Linked DNA regions of Drosophila melanogaster. The protein of the gene in region 1 interacts with the protein of each later gene in a pairwise test. Each region holds a gene or a part of one and is shown in the gene's direction. Other genes may lie near its edges. The genes, in order: CG1602, Picot, H2.0 and Hr78.

The links.
Region 2: the proteins of CG1602 (region 1) and Picot interact in a two-hybrid assay, tested with the Drosophila melanogaster proteins (one large-scale study listed by BioGRID).
Region 3: the proteins of CG1602 (region 1) and H2.0 interact in a two-hybrid assay, tested with the Drosophila melanogaster proteins (one large-scale study listed by BioGRID).
Region 4: the proteins of CG1602 (region 1) and Hr78 interact in a two-hybrid assay, tested with the Drosophila melanogaster proteins (one large-scale study listed by BioGRID).

What each region holds. Positions count from the first base shown.
Region 1 is NT_033778.4:7,516,399-7,520,687, reverse strand, and holds CG1602 (uncharacterized protein), read left to right. Parts: upstream 1-1,751; 5' UTR 1,752-1,827; coding exon 1,828-2,253; intron 2,254-2,309; coding exon 2,310-2,663; intron 2,664-2,720; coding exon 2,721-3,674; 3' UTR 3,675-3,765; downstream 3,766-4,289. Other genes in the region: PIG-G (phosphatidylinositol glycan anchor biosynthesis class G), read right to left, coding at 1-4, 63-277, 337-467, 529-1,087, 1,151-1,314.
Region 2 is NT_033778.4:16,654,817-16,660,751, reverse strand, and holds Picot (picot), read left to right. Parts: upstream 1-1,593; 5' UTR 1,594-1,902; coding exon 1,903-2,005; intron 2,006-3,312; coding exon 3,313-3,488; intron 3,489-3,557; coding exon 3,558-4,121; intron 4,122-4,185; coding exon 4,186-4,716; intron 4,717-4,779; coding exon 4,780-4,995; 3' UTR 4,996-5,429; downstream 5,430-5,935. Other genes in the region: nach, read left to right, coding at 5,706-5,935. UniProt on the Drosophila melanogaster protein: May be an inorganic phosphate cotransporter.
Region 3 is NT_033779.5:6,013,365-6,020,924, reverse strand, and holds the start of H2.0 (homeodomain protein 2.0), read left to right. Parts: upstream 1-1,522; 5' UTR 1,523-1,731; coding exon 1,732-2,248; intron 2,249-6,828; coding exon 6,829-7,325; intron 7,326-7,427; coding exon 7,428-7,560. Other genes in the region: CG13996 (uncharacterized protein), read right to left, coding at 1-75. UniProt on the Drosophila melanogaster protein: May play a role in pattern formation during embryonic and imaginal development. Is not essential for visceral muscle morphogenesis.
Region 4 is NT_037436.4:21,493,510-21,499,325, reverse strand, and holds Hr78 (Hormone-receptor-like in 78), read left to right. Parts: upstream 1-1,831; 5' UTR 1,832-2,035; intron 2,036-2,142; exon of another isoform or gene 2,143-2,183; intron 2,184-2,304; exon of another isoform or gene 2,305-2,418; 5' UTR 2,419-2,466; coding exon 2,467-2,506; exon of another isoform or gene 2,507-2,584; coding exon 2,585-2,905; exon of another isoform or gene 2,906-2,933; intron 2,934-3,457; coding exon 3,458-3,727; intron 3,728-3,845; coding exon 3,846-5,020; 3' UTR 5,021-5,307; downstream 5,308-5,816. Other genes in the region: Glg1 (golgi complex-localized glycoprotein 1), read left to right, coding at 834-1,111; CG7519 (uncharacterized protein), read right to left, coding at 5,544-5,816.

The sequences.
Region 1 (4,289 bases):
TAATCTGGAGAATGAATGAATAATTAACTAAAGAAATCGGCGCGGAGGGATCATAACCTTACCACTCCGATGGACTATTTCGTGGCCGAACTTCACTCGCGCCTTGTTGAGCAAGTGGTGGGCGTTGTAGAAGTAAGCATACAACTGGTGCTCCAAAGACAGCGATTGCAGCATCTCCGGTATTAGGCAGCCAATGGAGAGCGTGGGTATTTCAACAGACAGAAGCACTGAAAGGGTGGGCGCCAAATCGATTTGGTTGTACCGTTTTGAGGCGGATCTGTGCAAGAATCATTTGTAGATGCAGTTTTTCTTTTAGATTGTACTTTTGGGGCTTACGGTGTTTTGCTGCAGTTGTTGTAATACAAATATAAAGGTACCAGAGTTTCGGCTGGCGTATTGCCGCCATGTCCTCCGCCATCAGCCATGCCATGATCTCCAGTCAGCATAAGCAGAACGTTGGGAAAACTCTAAATAGGGAAGGAGTTACTTTACAGCTTTCCCTCTATATTAAGCTATCTAATAGCTCACCTTATGATCCAATATTTTTTTCACCACCTCATCCATTTCCTTTAGCTTTAGGGGCACCCTAGGGCTGGCATTGCCCTCGACATGACCAATGTGATCGAGGCCCAGATAGTGTAAAATCAGCAAAGACCAGTCACTCCGCTCCAACTCAGTCTCCAGCGTTTTGGTCACATTTCTATCGCCCTCGTAGAAGTCGTTAACATAAAAGGAATCATGGTTCTCGACCTGCCGTGTAAACTCGCTGGGAAAGAGCTTCACCCAGGTGTGGTCGCCGGCAAAGGAAACAACTCGATTCTGCTGTTTTAGCCGGTGCAAGAACGAGTCCTGCATCTGCTCCGTATGACCCACGTTTAGCGCAATGTCGATAAAGTTCGAAAGGGTGCCGGTGGTGATGCTCTTCAAGCGTGGCATAGTCACCGTCGGTATGTCCACATGGAGCTTAAGCTTCTCGCAGGCCCTAGAATAAGCCACCGGCATAGACGTGGCATCGGGAAAATCATCGCGCAACGCGTCGACCAGTAACAGCACAAAGGAGTCATAGGCAGGTGGCGGCGGCGTCAGTCTGTAAAGGGTAACGAGCATTATAGGGGCGCTATCTCACGCAATTATCAGCTCATAAACTCACTCCATGCCAAGCAGAGCGGTGGGCCGGCCCTCTGGCACGGTGCTTTCCTTCTCCGCCACCGAGTAGGAGGCCGGAAAGAAGCCAATCAGAAAGAGCACGGCGCCGCAAAGGAACGCCGTGAGCATGCCGATGGTATAGACCAGCCAACTTTTGTGCTGTTCCATCTTCTTGTTTTCATCGAAAGTACCGCGCTCCACCGAAAACCACAACAAATTCAATATAATTGCCGCCCGTCAGCTGGAAGTCAAATATAAAGGCTAGACAATCGATAAGTGCTGTATGCTATCGATAGACGGCAAGCAAAACTTCAGGGGCGTAGGCACATAAAACTAATAAATGCTAAAGTCTTACGTATAATTTATATTTATTTTAAAACTATTGATACGAAAGAGTTAAGAGAGGAAATTTGTTAGCTTTATGGAAAAAAAGTATTAATATTTACATAATATTACTAACGTTTTGCCATTTCTCGAAGTGTATATTATTTTATACTTAATTTATCTTAATTTACATTTAAAATCTTACATATAAAAGAAATTTTTTAAATTTGATACTTATAAAACAAACGAATTTAATATCGTCTGTCGAACCCTTTTGCCCATTTGTGAATGCGCCCATGGTCTCTCATAGTCGGATATGTATAAACAAACGCTTTTGATTGTTATTTCTAACTTAAAATGGAAACTTGCGGCCTTATTTGTGTGAGCAGGGACTACGAGAAGTTCCTGATGCGCTGCTCCTACTGTCCAACGGACGTGGAGGTGGCCCAGTGGCAGGAGTTTGTGCTGCACATCCGCAACGTGCATAGCAAAGTAAGGAGCATGGAAGACGACTTCGAGCCAGTGGGGGAAAATTCTACGGAGTCTGGGCACGTAGATCCTCCAGAGGAGAAACCCCAAGCGGAAGAGTCGATATTCCAGCAAGACGAATCGGCGGACGGAGCCTGTGTACAGCTGCATATTGACGCAGTGCGTTCGTCGACAAACGAGACTGAGGAGTCGGACGTATCTTTGGTTACAGATGAAGAAGAATCCGTCCAGGACGAGGATCCAAGTGAACCAGCTCTTGATGATGCCAATTTAAAAACCACACCCACATACAAGGTACTTCTAGAAGCCATTCATGAACGCGCTAAACTAATCTCAGCATTCAACTTCAGTTTCATCCATCCTTCTTTCGCCGAGATCACCGAACCATAAAGTTCATAGAGATCTACAAGGAACACCCGTGCCTTTGGAATCCCGCTCACAGCGACTACAAGGAACCCAAGAAATGCAAAGAAGCCCTGAAGCGTATGGCCATTGACTTGGAGGCAACTGTATCCGTATTCCTGAACGAGATGGCCTTAAAGCTGGCCATCAAGAAAGTCCACATGCAGTTCAACACCGTGCACAAGCGGGTGGTGTCTGGAAAACAGAAACCTCAATCGCTGGCTTTCAGTATATACAAATTGTGTTGCTTCTTGAACGCTAGCAACGATGAAGAAGGGGCTACGAATAACGAAAAAATTAAGGCAAGATATTTGAATTAATTCAAATTGAAATTGTTAACAAGCATACTTTGCCCGCAGCTTGATTTCTCCAAGAAAAACAAGCTGACTACCGACCTGATAGAGATGTACGCAAACTTTCCGCAGCTATACGACTCCAACCACAAGGAGTTCTCCAATATGAGCTCTCGAAAACAGGCATACGAGAGCATGGCTGCGGAAATCTCAGTGCCCAATGTGGACATCAACAGCGATGACATATTCCGCGCCATCCAGAATCTCCGCCAATGGTACTACAAGAACACTAAGCATGCCATTTATGCCGGAAGTACAGCCGAGAAGTTCTACCTAGAGGTGTGTCGGTTCATGCCTGCAAAGATGTACAAGCAGCGGCTGGTCTGCGAATTTTGCCACCAGATTACGTCCTCGGATCATGTCCTGCAGTCGCACATCTTCAAGGCGCACAACATCGGCGAGCTGCCCTTCAAATGCACCTTGTGCGACCGAAGTTTTGTGGGACGTTGCGAGCTGGCTAATCACATACAGCGGGTCCATATCGGCAAGACCCACAAGTGCACCCATTGTGAGCGTTCATTCGCTGTGATGTCGGACCTGCAGCTGCACATCCGTACGCACACTGGCCACAAGCCTTACGTCTGCGAGCATTGCGGCAAGGCCTTCCGACTGCGGTCCCAAATGACGCTCCACGTCACGGCTATTCACACGAAGATCAGAGCCTTCAAGTGCACCATGTGTCCCAAAGACTTTGTGAAAAAGGTCGACTTATCGGATCACATCAAGGGCCATTTAAACATCCGCGACAAAATCTGCAGTGTGTGCGGTAAGGGATTCACCAGCTGCCATGCACTCATCCGACACCGGCAGATTCACTCCGAGGTGAAGAAGTTTGTGTGCAAACTCTGCGACTCCAGGTTCTCCCAGTTTGTGGGTCTTAATACGCACATGAAGCGCACCCACAACATTCTTCGTAATAATTCACAAAAGGGTAAAGATGCTGTGGATGCAGAGAACTGAATTTGATTAAATTTGCAATAAAATGACAGTTTATAAATAGGCAATCTTTTGCAAATGGGGGGAAATAAAAATACACAAATGAGAGTGAAACAATATGTTTAAACAAATTTATTTATATAACGGTTTAAGAATGTATATTAATAATTAAGAATATAAATTCTACATTATCTGGCCATGTCCATCTGTCGAAATCTGGGGATGTACATCTAAAAGCCTAAACACATTCCCCTGCCTACGCTGCGCTATTTTTTCCAAAATGTTGGCACGCCCACAAGGCGCCGACAACTGTAACGCCCATACATTTGAAAAACGTTTTGGTGTTTTCCTGTTCATATTTGTCTCGCTATTTTCTATCGATATGACAAAAAAAATATAATTTCTCAACAAATAAGCTTGATTGATTTTGATTTTTCCAAATGGTTAGTACTAGAATTTTATAACATTTTTTTTCGAAAATTGAAATGTACTAGTTACTTTAAAGATTCATTCATGAAATGCAGATTTTTAATCATTTTTAAGCACCACCAACAGTTGTTAAAACGTTTTCTTTTAAGCCTTCATAAAATTGTGTTTAAATATTATTTTAAAAATAGATTTTTATCGAATAGTCTATCG
Region 2 (5,935 bases), 9.1 Mb from region 1:
AATGAAAACGTAACGGAAGCTTGTAGACTTCATGTAGAGAGTATGTAAAATAGTTAACTCTTTCAAATGCCCATGAATAATTAATAATTAATAAATATGAACTGCTTTCATTCCATTCGGAAGACGGAAGCGAATGGGAATAGTTGGCAGACAAAATGAAAAATTACTTAATTGCTTTGGCCGCGCACAACTGTACCGCAGCCTAGCCATAAAGTATTCCATTAGGGGATTTGCCAAAAATACACCCTACATACACTTAAATAATTAGAATATGGTACACATCAAAGCAGACAGTGTGAATGGTTTCTCTTTATTGTCACGAGAGCTCGACAGACACGCTCAATGGCGGCAAAGCGCAATTAACACGAAAGAAAAAAACTTTACAGGGCAGTAAAAAATCTGGCCAAGGAGTGTTGAATGCTAAAAAAGGATCAAACTAAATACAATAATATTTTATACACATATCCATGTAAATAACCAAATGCCTTCAAAACATTTCGTTTTTAAAACCCAAAGCGATATCCAATTTCGATGTGTAGATCATTCGGAAGTCGATGTGATCATGTCGTCTGGGTAATTGGAACTTGCGAGCGAAGGCAGGCGACAAACACGTGTTTTTCTCAGCCGGCGGCAATTTTCAGAGCGGGCTCCAACACACACATATATATATAAACAATCACTTGTGCGATTCATGCGTGACTGTAGCTATTTGTACAGTTTTAACTTTGGTTTCGCTTTGCGATTATCAGCGATTATTAATGCAAAACAATGGGCGAAAATTCTAATGGGTTTTGTTCACATTTTAGGATTATGACAAAGTTAGCAAGAACTTGTCAAAGCGATTAAAATAGTGTATATATTTTGGCGTGACCAGTTATTACTCAGAATACATATGTATGGTGTACAGTGTACACCTAGTGGGGTCGCCTCCACTTAGTGTCGTCGCATTTGTATGACTTCATCCCGAGTCTAGCTACAGACATGTGTCTGGTCCCATTTTCATTTGTTGGGGATGGTTAGGGTAGAGATTATCTTTAAGATAGTATGAAGCCCAGTGTAGCCCAACAACACCACTTCAATATAAGATACCAAAATTATTTGGCAATCTTTCAAAGTCCGCAGCGGGTACTCGCGATGTTACCATAATCACTTAGCTGTGCATATTTTAGACAGCGCGTGTACTTTGCCTTCCATGTGCCGAAAGTCACGAGATGTGAATGTGTGGCATGCTTACGTCCATCCGATATAATTAGACATATATACTATATCGGTAGATGGTTCGACCAAATCTCTTTGACTTTGCAGCGACTGAAAAGTTCACTCTATCAATTGACATCAATCGCCGGGTCCGAAAATGATGCATAATGCAAGGGGAGAATTTTCCATCGTCTCACTTAATTAGTCGAAATCTGAACACTAAAACTGATGTAATCACCCAACGGCGGCGGAGAGAGCGACGCCGGCGCAGAATAATACCGCACCGCACCTCACTCGTTCTATATCCGAATCCGAACCCAATAGCCGCAGATACACTCATATGCGATATACCCACAGCGATGGCCGCAGTTTATAAATGAAGGCGGCGCAACAGTTGGCGCTCAGTAGAAAAAGCTGAAAGCAGCTGGCGGTTGCAAAAAGTACCCACTCAGTTGACCGTTCAACGTCGGTGGCAGAACATACACTCGCACTAGACCCAGCGATAAATTGTCGCTCAAGTTTTCCCCTCAAGCGAACCCTTTGAGTTTTCCCAGTGCGCGATATGTTACGGTCTTCAGCCGACCAAGTCGATAGATAGACAATGAAATGGTTTAAGCGTGTGCGCAAAAAGTCTTGAACTCGAGTAAAACGCGTGCTAGATAAAATTTAGATAATTTATTTAAGTTAAGGCCAAAATCGAACACTATGCCCTTTCGACGCAGCAGTCTGAATCATCGGCATCGCGATGGCCATGTTTTGGTATGGAATCAGAGGAATCTCCACGAATCTCTGGAGCAACAGCCGCAGAGTAAGTCTGAAATGCAAAAGGATAAGCTAGCACAAGTTGGTCCTTTTTGTTTTCTTCGCCAGTTTCTGTCTTTATTTTGTGACCACGCTGCGTATGCGTTATATTGAGGAAAGTATTTTCCTATTTAGACCGGTTTTCTTCCCCTTGGACTCATTTCGCGTGATATACACGTGCTTTTCCTCATCGCCAGATAGCTAGCTGCCAACGAAAGCAAACTCGGCAATTGTGCAACACGAGACGTTGGTGGAAATATGTGGGGAAACCAGGGGAAAAGCGAGCACACTTTTCGATTTAGTGCTGCGTAAGCAAAAGTACACGGCGAGCGAATAACAATGTTTTTAAAATCAAATTTGAATCAGCATAATTGCGGATTCGAACGATTGTTTATTTCCAAATTTATTTTGCTAGTTATGGGCAACTGAATTCCAATGAAATCCACCGGGTTATTGAACACAAATTGCTTATCATTTCACTTTTCGATTGGCTACAGGTGGCCAAAGTTCATTGGTTTTGAAAGTAAATTGGCTTAATTTGTTCTGCTCGCTTACAGCCTTGAACTTTCTATGCGTCACCCCTTAATTAAACCAGAAATATCCGAGCCCATTCGCAAATCCTAGAAAGTAAGCGCAACTGTACATGAAATAGGAATTCTAGGTAAGCTCACGTGTCCCATGTGGCCGTGAAAATTGCTGGAATTGCGGCGATTCACGTTTGACAAATGACACAAACGGCACTAAAAATTACAAACACTCATCCAGCCAAATGTAAACAATTGCTTTCGTCGTAGTTACAAAACGCGATCACGAAATATGACTATTGGGCAATAAAATCAAATAAGGAGAGTAGAGCTCTCAATTGCAAAAGTTTATTGTGAAATTTAAGAAGAAATCGGTTGATTCTCAGTTATTGTAATGCGATAAGTAATCAGTTCTAAAATAATAAGCAACTAGACGTATATAACAGCATAACAGAAACATTTGTGGGCCCGATATCTTAAATGATTCACTTAGCAAACCTAGAATCCGAGAATCTTATCTCCGAGCAACGAACCTTGAAGCTGAACAAACCGCAGACGAGATTATATCTTCATATATCGCTTTTAGCCGCGATATATTTGGGTTATTTCTGCATTTCCGAAGCATTTAATTGGTTAGCTAGCAATAATAGTTGTCGACAAGACATCCGCTTGCCGCAGATAAATTATTTATTTTGGCTTTTTCTGACGCATTTCATTTTGCCATACTCTCTGAGAGGAATATTTTGGTAATCACTTGGCTAATTCTCTCGGTTTTCTTGGCATTTTTTAGGATGCTTTGCCACCCGGTACTTTGTGACCTTTATGCTTTTCCTGGGCATGGCCAATGCCTATGTGATGCGCACCAACATGTCGGTGGCCATTGTGGCCATGGTGAACCACACGGCCATCAAGTCTGGAGAGGCAGAGGAGTACGATGATGAGTGCGGAGATCGGGATATTCCTATTGTAAGTTGGCATTATATAAAAAGAAAACTCAATTTATGCTGATGAATTCTCTTCAATTCCCAATTTCAGGATGACTCTCAGGATGGCGAGTTCGCCTGGAGCTCAGCTCTGCAGGGCTACATCTTGTCGTCCTTCTTCTATGGCTATGTCATCACCCAGATTCCCTTTGGCATATTGGCCAAGAAGTACGGTTCCCTGCGCTTCCTCGGCTACGGCATGTTGATCAACTCCGTGTTTGCCTTCCTGGTTCCGGTGGCTGCCCGCGGTGGAGGTGTTTGGGGTCTGTGCGCCGTGCGTTTCATCCAAGGTCTAGGTGAGGGTCCCATCGTGCCCTGCACCCACGCCATGTTGGCCAAATGGATTCCGCCCAACGAAAGGTCACGAATGGGTGCCGCCGTGTATGCGGGTGCACAGTTTGGAACCATCATCTCTATGCCACTTTCCGGCCTGCTGGCTGAATACGGATTCGATGGCGGCTGGCCGTCGATCTTCTATGTGTTTGGAATTGTGGGTACCGTCTGGTCCATCGCCTTCCTGATCTTCGTGCACGAGGATCCCTCTTCGCATCCCACTATTGATGAGCGCGAGAAGAAGTACATTAACGATTCCCTCTGGGGAACTGATGTTGTTAAGGTGGGATTTGGAGATAATTAACAATTTTAGATTGAAATTATAATATTCTATTCTTACTTTTTAGAGCCCTCCCATTCCCTTCAAGGCTATCATCAAGTCGCTGCCCTTCTACGCCATTCTGTTCGCCCACATGGGTCACAACTACGGCTATGAGACTCTGATGACCGAGCTGCCCACCTACATGAAGCAGGTGCTCCGCTTCTCCCTGAAGTCGAACGGTCTGCTCAGCTCCCTGCCCTACTTGGCCATGTGGCTCTTCTCCATGTTCATCTCGGTGGTCGCCGATTGGATGATTAGCTCGAAGAGATTCTCGCACACGGCCACCAGGAAGCTGATCAACAGTATTGGCCAGTATGGACCGGGAGTCGCCCTAATCGCCGCCTCCTACACGGGCTGCGACAGAGCACTGACCTTGGCCATCCTCACCATCGGAGTGGGTCTTAATGGAGGTATCTACTCCGGCTTCAAGATCAACCACTTGGACCTCACACCGCGTTTCGCCGGCTTCCTAATGTCGATCACTAACTGCTCTGCCAATTTGGCTGGTCTCTTAGCGCCCATTGCTGCAGGTCACCTCATTTCTGATCCCAGCAAGGTGAGTTCGGAAGTCCATTTGAGTTGGAAAACAGATACTATAACAATTTATTTCCATTTTTAGCCCATGATGGGTCAGTGGCAGATCGTGTTCTTCATCGCTGCCTTTGTGTACATCATTTGCGGTACCTTCTACAACATCTTCGGATCCGGTGAGCGTCAGTACTGGGACAATCCGGAGGACGATGAGCAGAAGCCGGCCCTCCAGACGACCGTCACCACCTCCCCAGCGAGGCTGAGCAACGGCAGCACGGCACCAGCGGCCATCTCGAGTTCCTAGGACTCCAAATGGAAGTAGTATTAGCCGTAGTCGTGCGTCATTAACCATTAATCCGTACACTATACGATATGCGTAGCTTAGTCCTTGTTTTAGTCTAATTATTTGATAAGCCAAAAGTTGTTAATATTGATAGTTAGCCTTTGATTTATTCCTACATCTGCATAAATACCGCTAAAAAGACACTAATCTTCCAATTGTAAATAAATTGGGAACTGAAACCGAAACCACACCAAGTCGAGCACAAAACGTCAACTTTAGTTAGTGAAATCGAGGTCTACCATTGCAAATGTGTAGTTTTCTTATTTTATTGTGATAGCGAAAGAGTTTACTTCTCTCACTGATTTGTTTTGAAATTAAATGAACCGCTCAAGCGAACATTGTTAAGCAAACAACCAAATGTATGAAAACCATTAAAAACTACTAGTTTAAGAAACAAAAAACATTTAAACATTTATTGGAAGAGGGCAGAAAAAGGACCAATTACGTGTATTGGGAATGAATGTTGCTTAAAGAAGTTGTTTAAAGAATAACCAATAATCATATTCTCTTAAAGCCAACAATAAGCTTTCCTAACAACGTTGGTTACTCTTTCACCCTTGATGGCTAATTCGTAAATAATAAGCAGTTGTCAGGATATCAAGTGCAACCATCTCCTCTATCAGCTACTTAAATGCTAGCACTAAAGCAGAAGGATTTAGTTAGCAGTTACAATGGGCCATCAGGAGGAGCTGAAGCCGGAGCAAGTGGATCTGAAAGTAACCCCCTTTGTGGGCTATCTGCGACGCACATGGAGTGACTTCTGTGCCACCAGCAGTATCCATGGATTGAAATACACTCGTGACGAGGATACGAATAAGATTGTGCACCTGGTGTGGCTCTTAATATCGGTGGTGATGTTCATTTGTGCTGTTGTTATGGCGCGCACCTTCTACATGGACTA
Region 3 (7,560 bases), on another chromosome or scaffold:
ACTGTCCATGCCACTGGCACTGTGCGGCAGTGGTGACGGTATGGTGGAGCACCTGGACGCTGAGAACGACTCCATTCGAGTGGTGGCAGCGCACTGTTCCTGGGCCAAAGTGAATTGAGTTGCCCCGCAACGATTTGGTTGCGGTTTCCAGCGATTCCTCAAGAATAAGTGGCGTTCGTGTCTGTTTACATAGTTTGATTGCGTTTCGCTTTCATTTGTTGTATGCCCTATAATTTTCCGGGAAAAGTTGTTGGCTACAATCACTAAGGCTCAATTTGCACTTTAAATGGGTTAATGGAATTTAAGCCATGCTCTTTCCAATCAGTATCTTTGAACGTTCGGCATATCCTGGAATGTATCTGAATCTTTTTTTTTAAGTAAAAAGGATTATTTTATTATTAATCGGACTTCACTTTGAAGAGGATAAAAGTGTCACCGACTGGCGATGGATTTTCCGCTGCCATTGCATTTGCATATTCCACATTTTCTGGGTCACTTTGTGGGCTTGTGGTGCTAGGGTGTTTTTGGCACCAAATCCGCCCGCTTGGATGGGAGTTTTGTGCCGGAAAGTATGCTATCTTAAGGTAGTCACGACAATTTTCCTATTAATAACGCCAGTTTCGCTCCGCAATTTACACATTTCTACTTAAGTTTTCCAACCCCGACGATCCGTTCGTGTTCCGTTTTGCGGATTTCCGCTTGTGGAATGCGGTTTCTGATTTATGACCACCAGTCCCGGTTACCCACTTCATTGAACCCAGACAGCGTGGAGCAGGTGGAGTTCGCGCAGATCGCTCAATCCCAAGCCAATGGAAGGCACATTCCTTGGGCGCGAAAGCGAGATGCCGCATCAGCGCCACCAGTGGCTCCGCCCACCACTGCGGATCGATCGCATTGGCCAGAAATCACGAACCACGAGCCACTCGACATGGCCTCTGCGCAGGGAAACCGGAATTCGGATGGGGTGTGTGTGTCTGTGTGTGGGAGTACGGGAACATATGGAGAAATCGGTAAACAAATCTCGGCTGCGCTCGAGGAAACGATCTCCGACTGAGCTAATGACACAGCGGCATGCTTGTGTGTAAACAAGCGATCGGCATGGCAAGGTATCCCATCTGTGTGTGGCTACAGTGGGATCAGGTCTATGGTAAGTGGATTAACATAATTTTAGGGCACTTTCTAGAGGTATATAGATCTTCAGCGGAATAGAAACCAATGTTACCACCAACCGAAGCCCAAAAATCTAATCTTTCTTGATAGTATTACTCTTCTTGAGTATTACTTTATAAACAATATACACGTTGGATAAAAAAATATCCTGGTTTGTATATCCTGTATATCGAACATATAGCCATTATTTATTGTTAGCATTATATCCTGATCATCTCGCACTCCTTGCCCCACTGTCAGCACCAGGAATACACAATCTCAGCGAGATTAACCCCACCGCCAACAGACTGTTCCGCGTTGGCTGGCCGATCGGCAATCGATGGCTGGTTGAGCGTGCTCCCTGGCCGGTTCCGATCAGTTCTGAGTGGGATGTCTTGCAAGGCGGTTTAATCGGAGGTGCACGAGACCTAAGCCAAAATTCGCGATCGTTTTATTGGTGCACAGCGACGGTGTTTTGGACATGATAGATAGTCCCTATCGATTGTGAACGTGTGAAATCAGTTTTGAGTGTCCTGTGTCGAGATTCGTAGATAGAAACCATATACAACACATATCCGGACAATGTTACTACACGAGAGTGCCGCCAGCATGGAACAGAGTATGCCCGAGAACCTCAGCACTCACATGTACGGCGAGTGTGAAGTGAATCCAACGCTGGCAAAGTGTCCCGATCCAGTGAATGTCGATCATGAGCTGCCCACCAAAGAATCCTGTGCCTCGACTACCATAGTCAGTACGTCGCCAACCAGCGCCACGAGCACCACCAAAGTCAAGCTGAGCTTCAGTGTGGATCGTCTGTTGGGCTCGGAACCCGAGGAATCCCACCGGCAGAGCTCCTCCTCGCCCTCGACCAAGTCATGCTGCGATGGCAGCATTCTAGCCTGCTGCTCCTTCCCCCACTGCTTCAGCCAGGCGAATGCCGAATCCCGTAGGTTTGGACATGCCACGCTTCCGCCCACTTTCACACCCACTTCATCGCACACGTACCCCTTCGTGGGTCTGGATAAGCTGTTCCCTGGCCCCTATATGGATTACAAATCAGTGCTCAGACCGACGCCAATTCGGGCAGCAGAACACGGTAAGGATGCACTATACTCAAAAGGGAACATCCTTTGAATCCGAGCAGGTTTTACAAAAAAAATGTCCATTTGAAAGTAAATCATTCAAAATTACCATTAAGTGCACGGCATTTGGAACATCATGAGCAAACCGAGTTGATAGAAGGAAAACATTTAATCTCTGTAAGGGATGCCTTAAATTAATATGAACTATATTGGTACTGATCCGTATTACATGGATTATAGGTACCTAAGTGTATTTTTAAGATACTTTTAAACTTAAAAGGAATCAGCTCCATACAGAAAGCTATTGAAACATCATTCGTTCGCAGTGAACCTCTTCTAGTTCCAACAACGTACCACTTATCAAAATAATATTTTATACCCATGACTCTATCTTGTAGATACGATCTATCATCTGCACTATTTCAATCTCCCCGTATGTTGTGTGCACTTGCAGCGCCAATAAAACTGATCAAAGCTAATCAGATATTGCGATTTGTCAATCATTCTGCATTCTTTCCATGGAAATATGCAGGATCTCAGGGAACGATCAAACGAGTTGATGAGGTGGCTTCGCCATTTGCCCATCAAAATTCCTTAGCTATTTCGCTCTGTTTTTCAATTATGGACTATAATTATTAGCCATGTTGAGATTTGCAGAGAAAATCGTGAAATGGAATTTAGCCAAATGGGAAATGAACATTCCTGGAAACACAAAGAGTGAGAACCTAAGGCGCAGCCCCAATAAATTTCACGTTTTTATTTGAATTATTAGTTGATCTGCAGCCATATTGTGCAATATTCCTGCGGCCAAATGTTCCGCGCCTTTGGCTCTTGACGAAAACAATTCGATTTTTGAAATCGACAACAAAATAGTCCGGATTGTTTTGGGTATTTGCCGTACTTCCTGCTGTTTTTGTATATCTGGGGACGAAGACTTCTTATAAAGCCTGCAGGCTGCCAGCGCACTTTGATCTTGTTTATGTGAAAATGGAAATGGAAATGGAAATAGTGAGAGCAACATAATCGGTAAATGTTTCGCTTTTCGAATAGAAATTGTTCATTGTTTAACAAGCTGCTTGAGTTTTATACATATCGTCAGCACAGCCTTTTCCCATTCAATATTGTACACAATTCTTATCAAGTGGGTGCTAACAATGCGAGGGCCTTAAACGATCTTAAAGATCTTTTGCGGATAAATGAGATACATATTTGGTTTGGGATTCCTCAATGGATAAATTGATTAGGAAATGTCTGAGATATTAATTTATTTCAAAATAAGAGACCCGCAAATATGTGGAGCTATACTAAAATGATGTGTAAATGGTATTAGCGAGCTTAACTTAAAGCTTACTATAGTTTAGACCTAGTTACAAGTAGCAAAATACAATTTTTTAACAGCCGACTAAAACATATTCAAAAAAGACTTTGGTTGATTCATCCAACGTAAATTCGATACTAATAGCCCTTTAAATTCCGCCAAATTCCAGCACACGATTAAATTATGTAGCAAAATTAGCGCCAAACTTAAATAAATTACACTTCACACAATGATGGAACATTAATGAAAATTATCATCAGTGCTAAGTGGTTTTCAAACACATTTGCTCAGCCAAAAATGGGAGGAGCAATTAGTAAGGCGAATAAATTCGACATAGCTCAATCAACAAAAGATCGGTAAAAAAAAAACGAAGAACAGACAGCACCTGAAAGGCTTCATCAATCCTTTGGGCACCGCAAATAGATGAGATGCCAAAGACCAAAGTGGAAAATTAAGAACAATTTATGAACAAATTACGAGTCAGTCTTTAAAAATAAACTTCAAGCTCACACGGATCGTGGAAAACGTTTGTGGCGAACAGTTTGTTTATTTGCTTGGGCAATTGGCCCGTCATTCATGGGCAGATACAGATAGCTATCCATCTAATTGCCCGCTCTCTAATGAATTGTTCCGCCGGCCGAGGAGTTCGACAGGTGGAGGCATCTTTGGCCCGGCTAGAGACGCGGATCTCTGATAGATTGGGCGCCACGGTTCCAACTACTGCGGCTCAACCGACTCCAATGAGGCTCGGCTGCCGTTTAGGCCAACGACAGGGAACTGCTGACCGATGGATGACTGTACCGGGTATGGGTACGGGCACGGGCACGGGTGAAACTATGCGCTGTTCTTTGGGGGCCGAGCCAAAAGGCCAAGTATTTACACAACCACCCACTGTGGTGGCCTTTTCAGGAGGAGGCTACCCTGTGGCTGCCCGCCGTGTCCAACCTGCCGGCCCCTGCGGAATTATTCCGTGATGGATTGATTGCATCGCATCGCACATCATAAAATCATGGACCAGCGAGATCTCTGCGGCTCCTCCGTCGACTATTTGTTGCTGTTTGCCTGTCCCGCCTGGCGATGAGTAGTTTGTTGATCTGTTGTTGTTGCTCTTCTGGCTGCCGATCAATCGATCCATCCATCGATCGATTGGATGCTACAGACCATTGTCTGATATGGAAATTCTGTCTGAACAATAATCCGGCGCCGTGGGTCTAATTAATTAGCAATTTATATGTTAATCCAACTGATAGATGCACTTTCAAAGCGTTCGAAGATCCCTGATTAATGATGGCCCTCAGACGATTTCTTTTGGAACTTTGAAGACTCTTTCTCAAGTTCCCAACAGCAGGGGAGGGTTGTAGCAATAATAATTACCACGCACTCAACTCAAATTAACGGGACTGATATATGTATGTAGATACCACAACTATAGGATTAACTATAATGAATTGAGTGAAAATTGACGACAATCCCAAGTAGCTAAAGATATTTCACGAAATATACAATTGAAATATTAGCTATACTTTTGATTTCACTTAAATATTTTGAAAGTACATAATGCAGATAATATATCTTAGTGCATAGTTAGCTGGTAAAAGTCAGAGATTCGGATGTTCGGAAGTAGATACATATGTATAATATATTAAAATCAATCAAATAAACACATACTCCGCTTGTCGAGCTGGTAGTCGAAATTTCCATAGCACATGGCCCACTGGGAGTGCTCTGCTTAACCCCAAAAGATCATTCGCAATTTACCGCGAAATAAGCCACAATATTCGCCAAGTCGTAAATGTGGAATGCATCGTGCTAATAAATCGATGCAACTTAAATATGGCTGCGAAATGTACGATTCGCAAACACATCCTACTGGAGATGCATCTGCAACCCAGACCCTTGAGTGATTTAAGATGGCATCCGAAAAATTATCACAACTCATTAAGATATTTACGGGTCCGCTGGCGGTATTTTGTAAATGTATCTGAACGGGAAAGTCGGCAATTAATGATCTCGCGCTGTGAGTGAACCCCAATGCCCCGGCCAACATCCAAGGTGTTGAAAGTCGGTGAAAACTCATTATAACAAACCCCCGATGGTTGACACAAGCCAAATGCCAAAACGGCCAATTAAGGCGTTATTAGCCCCTGCAGATGTGCTGAGATTCCATTGGCGTTCCCGATGCAGATACACAAGCGCACGGATTGAGATACAATTGTATCCACAAGTGCAGAAGCGCATTTCCGCTGCAGTGTAAATACACACAATCGATCGAGTAGTGTGTTGCTTAAGTAAATAAAACGCTCGATCTCGAAAACAATTAGGCGCATGCCGCGAGCACACAAACAAATCGAATTCCACATAGCACAACGTTAAAAAGGCAATAAAAAATACCTATGATAATTTAGCGTTGGCTACAAACAAAGAGGAATGGTTTGCAGTTTGAAATCAAATAAAATTCAATGAAAAAGTCAAGGATAGGAATTAAAATTGTGGCCTTTTAACAACATCAGGATTACATTTCATATCAACATTAGTGAACATTATCGTGAACTGAGGATTCAAAGGAACTTTTTGTAGCATACTTTTCAGCGGAGTCCTTTGAGTTGATAAATGCCGTAATGATCTTGATTGAAACTCAGTAGTTAGATAAAGGATAGTAAATGCCAATAATGATTGGAAATACAATAGGAAAGTCAACGTCATTCGAATTGTTTCTTACTGCGTGTATAAATTCTTGGATATTTAAAAAACATTTAAGGGAAGTAAAGCACCCTGGTTCGACCTCAACCTCGTGTGCCCCATGTCGTGTTCGATTACCCCAAATAATTTTGGATCTCTAGAGGTAATTGTTGTTGTTTAGATTCGCGCTAGAAGTAAACAAATTTCGTTTGCCCCCCCTAGCCACAAAACGCTTCAATGATAATTTCCAATTAAGTGAAAATTTTATTATAAACAAGCCCATTTAAAAATTCTCAACATGCATTTTATTGATCAAAATAATTTACTCAGAAAACACAAAAAATTGAATTTCATATTTTCTTTGGCGAAACAAGTATCATTTCTTTGGCCGGCGATAAATGTATTATTTCCTGCGGATGCAATGTGCTACCAAGGGAGGATGTTGTCCATAACTAATGGTAGTTTTCCTATAAAAATAAATATCCAAATTGGTGCGTAAAAAACGCACCGGATTCAGTATAGCAACAAATTAAGAGTTATTGCTAATGAAGGAAGTATGAATCTCCCAATTGACTTTAACATTCCATTCCCGAACAGCCGCACCCACTTATCCCACGCTGGCTACCAATGCGCTCCTCCGCTTCCATCAACATCAGAAGCAGCAGCACCAGCAGCATCATCATCATCAGCACCATCCCAAACACCTCCATCAGCAGCACAAGCCCCCGCCACACAACTCGACGACAGCCTCGGCGCTACTGGCGCCGCTCCACAGCCTCACGAGCCTCCAGCTGACGCAACAGCAGCAGCGATTTCTGGGCAAGACGCCGCAGCAGCTCCTGGACATAGCGCCCACCTCGCCCGCCGCCGCCGCCGCTGCCACATCCCAGAACGGTGCACATGGACATGGAGGTGGCAATGGCCAGGGCAACGCCTCAGCCGGAAGCAATGGGAAGCGCAAGCGATCCTGGTCTCGCGCCGTCTTCTCGAATCTGCAGCGCAAGGGCCTGGAGATTCAGTTCCAGCAGCAGAAGTACATCACCAAGCCAGATCGCCGCAAGCTGGCGGCACGACTGAATCTCACCGACGCTCAGGTTAGTTAAAAGATGGGATTTTCATAGTTTAACATTTGCACATTCGACTCCTTTCATAGCTCTATAAAAACCAATATATTATTATTTTTATACCCTGATTAGGTCAAGGTGTGGTTCCAGAACCGTCGCATGAAGTGGCGGCACACGCGCGAGAATCTGAAGAGTGGCCAGGAGAAGCAGCCGAGTGCAGTACCCGAATCCGGAGGTGTCTTCAAGACATCCACGCCATCCGGTG
Region 4 (5,816 bases), on another chromosome or scaffold:
CCGCAAGATGAATACTCTAATGACAAATATTCTTATATAAAGTCATTTTTGAAATTTATTTTTGTGATAATATGTACATAGATTTGACTATTTCTAATCTATTTTCAAATAATAATAACGTTAAGGCAATGCAAAACAAGAATTTTTCGCATGGTGCCAATTGATCAAAAATAATATAGATTTAAAGCCAAAGAACTTCTAAGGTGAAGGGCATATTTTGTCAAATTTACAATGCATGAGCATACGTGTGCACACATAAAGTTGTCTGCTATCACTGTATGCGTAGAAAAGAGCGGTTCGCTGTAGCGCTCTTCGCTCTCTCGCTCTCTAACAAAAATTCGAGAGAGCCTGGAGCCACCTCTAGAGCCACGGCCAAAAAATCGTGTGCCAAAAAATCGTATGGCGTTACGCATCTTGTTATTCTAGGGTCTTTGGCCAGGCCATCAGCCAGGGGGGGCAGATAGTAGAATTCCTCTTCCTACACTGGAAACTCTTAGTGAAAGCACCTATCAAACAGCTTATGTATTTGAAGCAGATCGATATAATTGGAGGCAGATTGACTAAGAGAATAAGAACAGTACATAGTGTAAATAAACAACGGGAAGTTACGTGATAGGCAGCAAATTATGAAATTTCTTGAACATTCCTTTTTGGTGCAGGGGGGTGTGTGTGTGTGTGTGTGTGTGTGTGTGTGTGTGTGTGTGTGTGTGTGTGTGTGTGTGTGTGTGTGTGTGTGTGTGTGTGTGTGTGTGTGTGTGTGTGTGTGTGTGTGTGTGTGTGTGGTTGGTGTGGTTATAAATATAATAATTAATGTTTTTCTCTCTATGTTCTAGAACTTAATTGCTTAAGGACGCTGCTGAAGGATACGCCGAACTCGTTAGAGGCGGACTGCCGAGAAAAGCTGCAGCGACGCATAGAGATGTTCAGGAACGCAGACGACACGTTGGCGCTTCCGCCCGAGGATGTGCAGCAGCTAGTGCAACAAGTCGTCGCCTCTCCGGCGCGGAAATTCTTCCTTGTGATACTAATGAGCGCCACGGGCCTGGTCTTCCTCACCGGCATCTTCCTGGGACGGGCCACCAAACGGGCAATGGGCTTAAAGAATAAATAATTGAAATATTAGACTGTAGTGGCACTGTGTAGGCGGAGTGTGCATGTTTGTGAGCTTGCTGATTTCCATTTCGGCCCATCCATGACCCCATTCCGAAACCCAGAAGTATACTTTCACTCAACCCTGTCTGCCTTTCGATATTTGTGTGAGCAATTTGTGGCTTAGTCGTTTGTAAGACCAAAAAATACGCGAGAAAGGAGAACACAATCAAATATACTAGTTCCATTCTTAGGGCTCTTTTCGTTATAGCTTTTTTGTAACAATTTCACTTGTATATTAAATTGTATTTTTGTAAACAAAAGCCCCTTCTTTTTAACTATATCCACATGGAAGGCATCAACAGATGTTTCTCTTTGGATCAATACCAGAGCGCTAATACGGCAGAGCGCCTAGTTTTGAGTACAAAAGTTAAGTAAAAACTTGGGATAGGCTTATCAATTTAATCAAATAGCCAAGGTAACTCAAAGTATAAAATTTAATATTATGTCCTTGTGGGCTTATGAGAATTAAAATTTGTGTTAATTGATTAAGCTTGACTCTAATTTGTACCCTAGACACGCCTTTGTTATTATTGATATTAGTAATTCTATTATTATCCTTTGTTTTACGTTAAAAATTACAATTTCAACGAACTGTAGCTCTACAGGTGTTTTGGTATATTTGCACAATGAGCTGCCTTTTTTTAGTATATGGGACCGGATGGTATGTTGAAAGAGCCCAACTGCGGTCACACTGCTCGCAAGTGAATTGGAACAAGGAGATTTTATTGCGTTAGAAAAGGTTCAAAATAGGCACAAAGTGCCTGAAAATATCGTAACTGACCGGAAGTAACATAACTTTAACCAAGTGCCTCGAAAAATAGATGTTTTTAAAAGCTCAAGAATGGTGATAACAGACGTCCAATAAGAATTTTCAAAGAGCCAAGTAAGCAAGACCAATTCATTCACATCACAGGCACCCACACAGATGCAGCCAAAACAGGTTCTATTAAAATAGCTCTGGCTACGTTAGCTACAGCTGCGTCCAAAATAGTAGCACTTTTGTTGGCAGCAGCAACGGTGTTTTATATTGCGTAAAATTCAATGATTTATTTTTTGAAAACATCAATATAATATATTATAATACATTTATTATTATTATTATTATTATCTACTATATAAATATATTTTGTGATAGAATTAACCACCTCATACCTCTCTTTTCGGCTCGTAATTCCTTTATTCTAGACACACTCCATATTTATCTCTTCTCTACTTTATATTGCAAGTAAAATTTAAATTACATATGTGAAGATGTTTGGGTTTCAGTTATTTATACAGCCGACGACTATTTTTTAGCCGCCTGCTGTGGCGACAATGGACGGCGTTAAGGTTGAGACGTTCATCAAAAGCGAAGGTGAGTCCAATCACCCGAGCCATGCCACCTTGGAGCCCATTCTAACGCGACTGTTGCCATTGCCCTCTGACCTTGCAGAAAACCGAGCGATGCCCTTGATCGGAGGAGGCAGTGCCTCAGGCGGCACTCCTCTGCCAGGAGGCGGCGTGGGAATGGGAGCCGGAGCATCCGCAACGTTGAGCGTGGAGCTGTGTTTGGTGTGCGGGGACCGCGCCTCCGGGCGGCACTACGGAGCCATAAGCTGCGAAGGCTGCAAGGGATTCTTCAAGCGCTCGATCCGGAAGCAGCTGGGCTACCAGTGTCGCGGGGCTATGAACTGCGAGGTCACCAAGCACCACAGGAATCGGTGCCAGTTCTGTCGACTACAGAAGTGCCTGGCCAGCGGCATGCGAAGTGATTGTAATTTTCGTTTAAGTCGTCGTCTCAAGCTATAACCAATCTCTGGCCTGGCCAGAGTCTACGTGCTCCAGCAGGCTTTAGCAGAATTGCATTGTAGAAATTAGGAGATATCATATATGTAGCATTTAACTCTGACAAGTAATGAAACGTTATCGATTCACAGGAACTCAGTTTCCCAGAGCTTAATCAAGAACTGGTTGGATGATCTCCAATTCGAATTGGACTCAAAGATAAATAGTCTAATCTAGAGAAAGTTCAATTTCAATTGAATTCAATTCAATTTTCGTCTGTGAAGTGCATTTTACACCAAGTAATCACGTGAATCTAATTGCATCCCAGTGTTTGCTTCTGTAACGTGAATATCCACTTCAGTAACTTGCACATCTTAAAACTGCAGCGGCGGAGGCACAAAAGATTCCCAGCCTGCACGAACATTAACCAATTCACCCACTTACTCACCATCACCTCGCTTTGAAAATCATCAAACCGCATCCTCACCTCACTTCTCGCTCTAATTAATTGCCTTCCGTTCTCATCAACTTTTGTTCACAGCTGTGCAGCACGAGAGGAAACCGATTGTGGACAGGAAGGAGGGGATCATCGCTGCTGCCGGTAGCTCATCCACTTCTGGCGGCGGTAATGGCTCGTCCACCTACCTATCCGGCAAGTCCGGCTATCAGCAGGGGCGTGGCAAGGGGCACAGTGTAAAGGCCGAATCCGCGGCCACGCCTCCAGTGCACAGCGCGCCAGCAACGGCCTTCAATTTGAATGAGAATATATTCCCGATGGGTTTGAATTTCGCAGAACTAACGCAGACATTGAGTAAGTTGAACTTTGATTTACATTCTGGTTGGTCATATATACTTAACTGCCATGATTGATCCATATTTAACTTCTTTTAAACGAATTCACCATTAATAATCTCCTATTGACTTTGCAGTGTTCGCTACCCAACAGCAGCAGCAACAACAGCAACAGCATCAACAGAGTGGTAGCTATTCGCCAGATATTCCGAAGGCAGATCCCGAGGATGACGAGGACGACTCAATGGACAACAGCAGCACGCTGTGCTTGCAGTTGCTCGCCAACAGCGCCAGCAACAACAACTCGCAGCACCTGAACTTTAATGCTGGGGAAGTACCCACCGCTCTGCCTACCACCTCGACAATGGGGCTTATTCAGAGTTCGCTGGACATGCGGGTCATCCACAAGGGACTGCAGATCCTGCAGCCCATCCAAAACCAACTGGAGCGAAATGGTAATCTGAGTGTGAAGCCCGAGTGCGATTCAGAGGCGGAGGACAGTGGCACCGAGGATGCCGTAGACGCGGAGCTGGAGCACATGGAACTAGACTTTGAGTGCGGTGGGAACCGAAGCGGTGGAAGCGATTTTGCTATCAATGAGGCGGTCTTTGAACAGGATCTTCTCACCGATGTGCAGTGTGCCTTTCATGTGCAACCGCCGACTTTGGTCCACTCGTATTTAAATATTCATTATGTGTGTGAGACGGGCTCGCGAATCATTTTTCTCACCATCCATACCCTTCGAAAGGTTCCAGTTTTCGAACAATTGGAAGCCCATACACAGGTGAAACTCCTGAGAGGAGTGTGGCCAGCATTAATGGCTATAGCTTTGGCGCAGTGTCAGGGTCAGCTTTCGGTGCCCACCATTATCGGGCAGTTTATTCAAAGCACTCGCCAGCTAGCGGATATCGATAAGATCGAACCGTTGAAGATCTCGAAGATGGCAAATCTCACCAGGACCCTGCACGACTTTGTCCAGGAGCTCCAGTCACTGGATGTTACTGATATGGAGTTTGGCTTGCTGCGTCTGATCTTGCTCTTCAATCCAACGCTCTTGCAGCAGCGCAAGGAGCGGTCGTTGCGAGGCTACGTCCGCAGAGTCCAACTCTACGCTCTGTCAAGTTTGAGAAGGCAGGGTGGCATCGGCGGCGGCGAGGAGCGCTTTAATGTTCTGGTGGCTCGCCTTCTTCCGCTCAGCAGCCTGGACGCAGAGGCCATGGAGGAGCTGTTCTTCGCCAACTTGGTGGGGCAGATGCAGATGGATGCTCTTATTCCGTTCATACTGATGACCAGCAACACCAGTGGACTGTAGGCGGAATTGAGAAGAACAGGGCGCAAGCAGATTCGCTAGACTGCCCAAAAGCAAGACTGAAGATGGACCAAGTGCGGGCAATACATGTAGCAACTAGGCAAATCCCATTAATTATATATTTAATATATACAATATATAGTTTAGGATACAATATTCTAACATAAAACCATGGGTTTATTGTTGTTCACAGATAAAATGGAATCGATTTCCCAATAAAAGCGAATATGTTTTTAAACAGAATGTTTGCATCAGAACTTTGAGATGTATACATTAGATTATTACAACACAACTTTGATCAAATGTTAATCTAATTTTTATTAAAGATGTGGATCTCATCCCACAGATTGGCAGAAAGCAGAATACAAAGTCAAGAAATGGCAACGTGTAGGGAACAATTTAAAGGCGGTCGTTATATTTTTATTTTTTGTATAAAAATAATTTGATTGTTTACTAAAGTAGATAGACGAACTGCAGCTAAATATGCATCCAGTCTTTACAACTTAATCTAAGCTAGAGCGAGGGATTACTGTTCCTCTTCGGGTACCTTTCTGGCGGGCTTGTGCTTCTCGTAAGCCTCATCGTTGAGTCCCTCCCGATTCCGGGCAATCTCGATGGCCAGAAACTGGACGCGAAACACGAAGATAGAGTTGTCCGGGGAGAATTCCCTGCTGGCATCGGCGCGCATCAGGGTGCCATACGAGTAATCGTCCAACTTGTTAAACTTCTCGGCGAACTGGCGCCACTTGAGCTTCGCCGTGGCGGATTTGAGAATATCATCGGTAAGCCGGCCAACGTG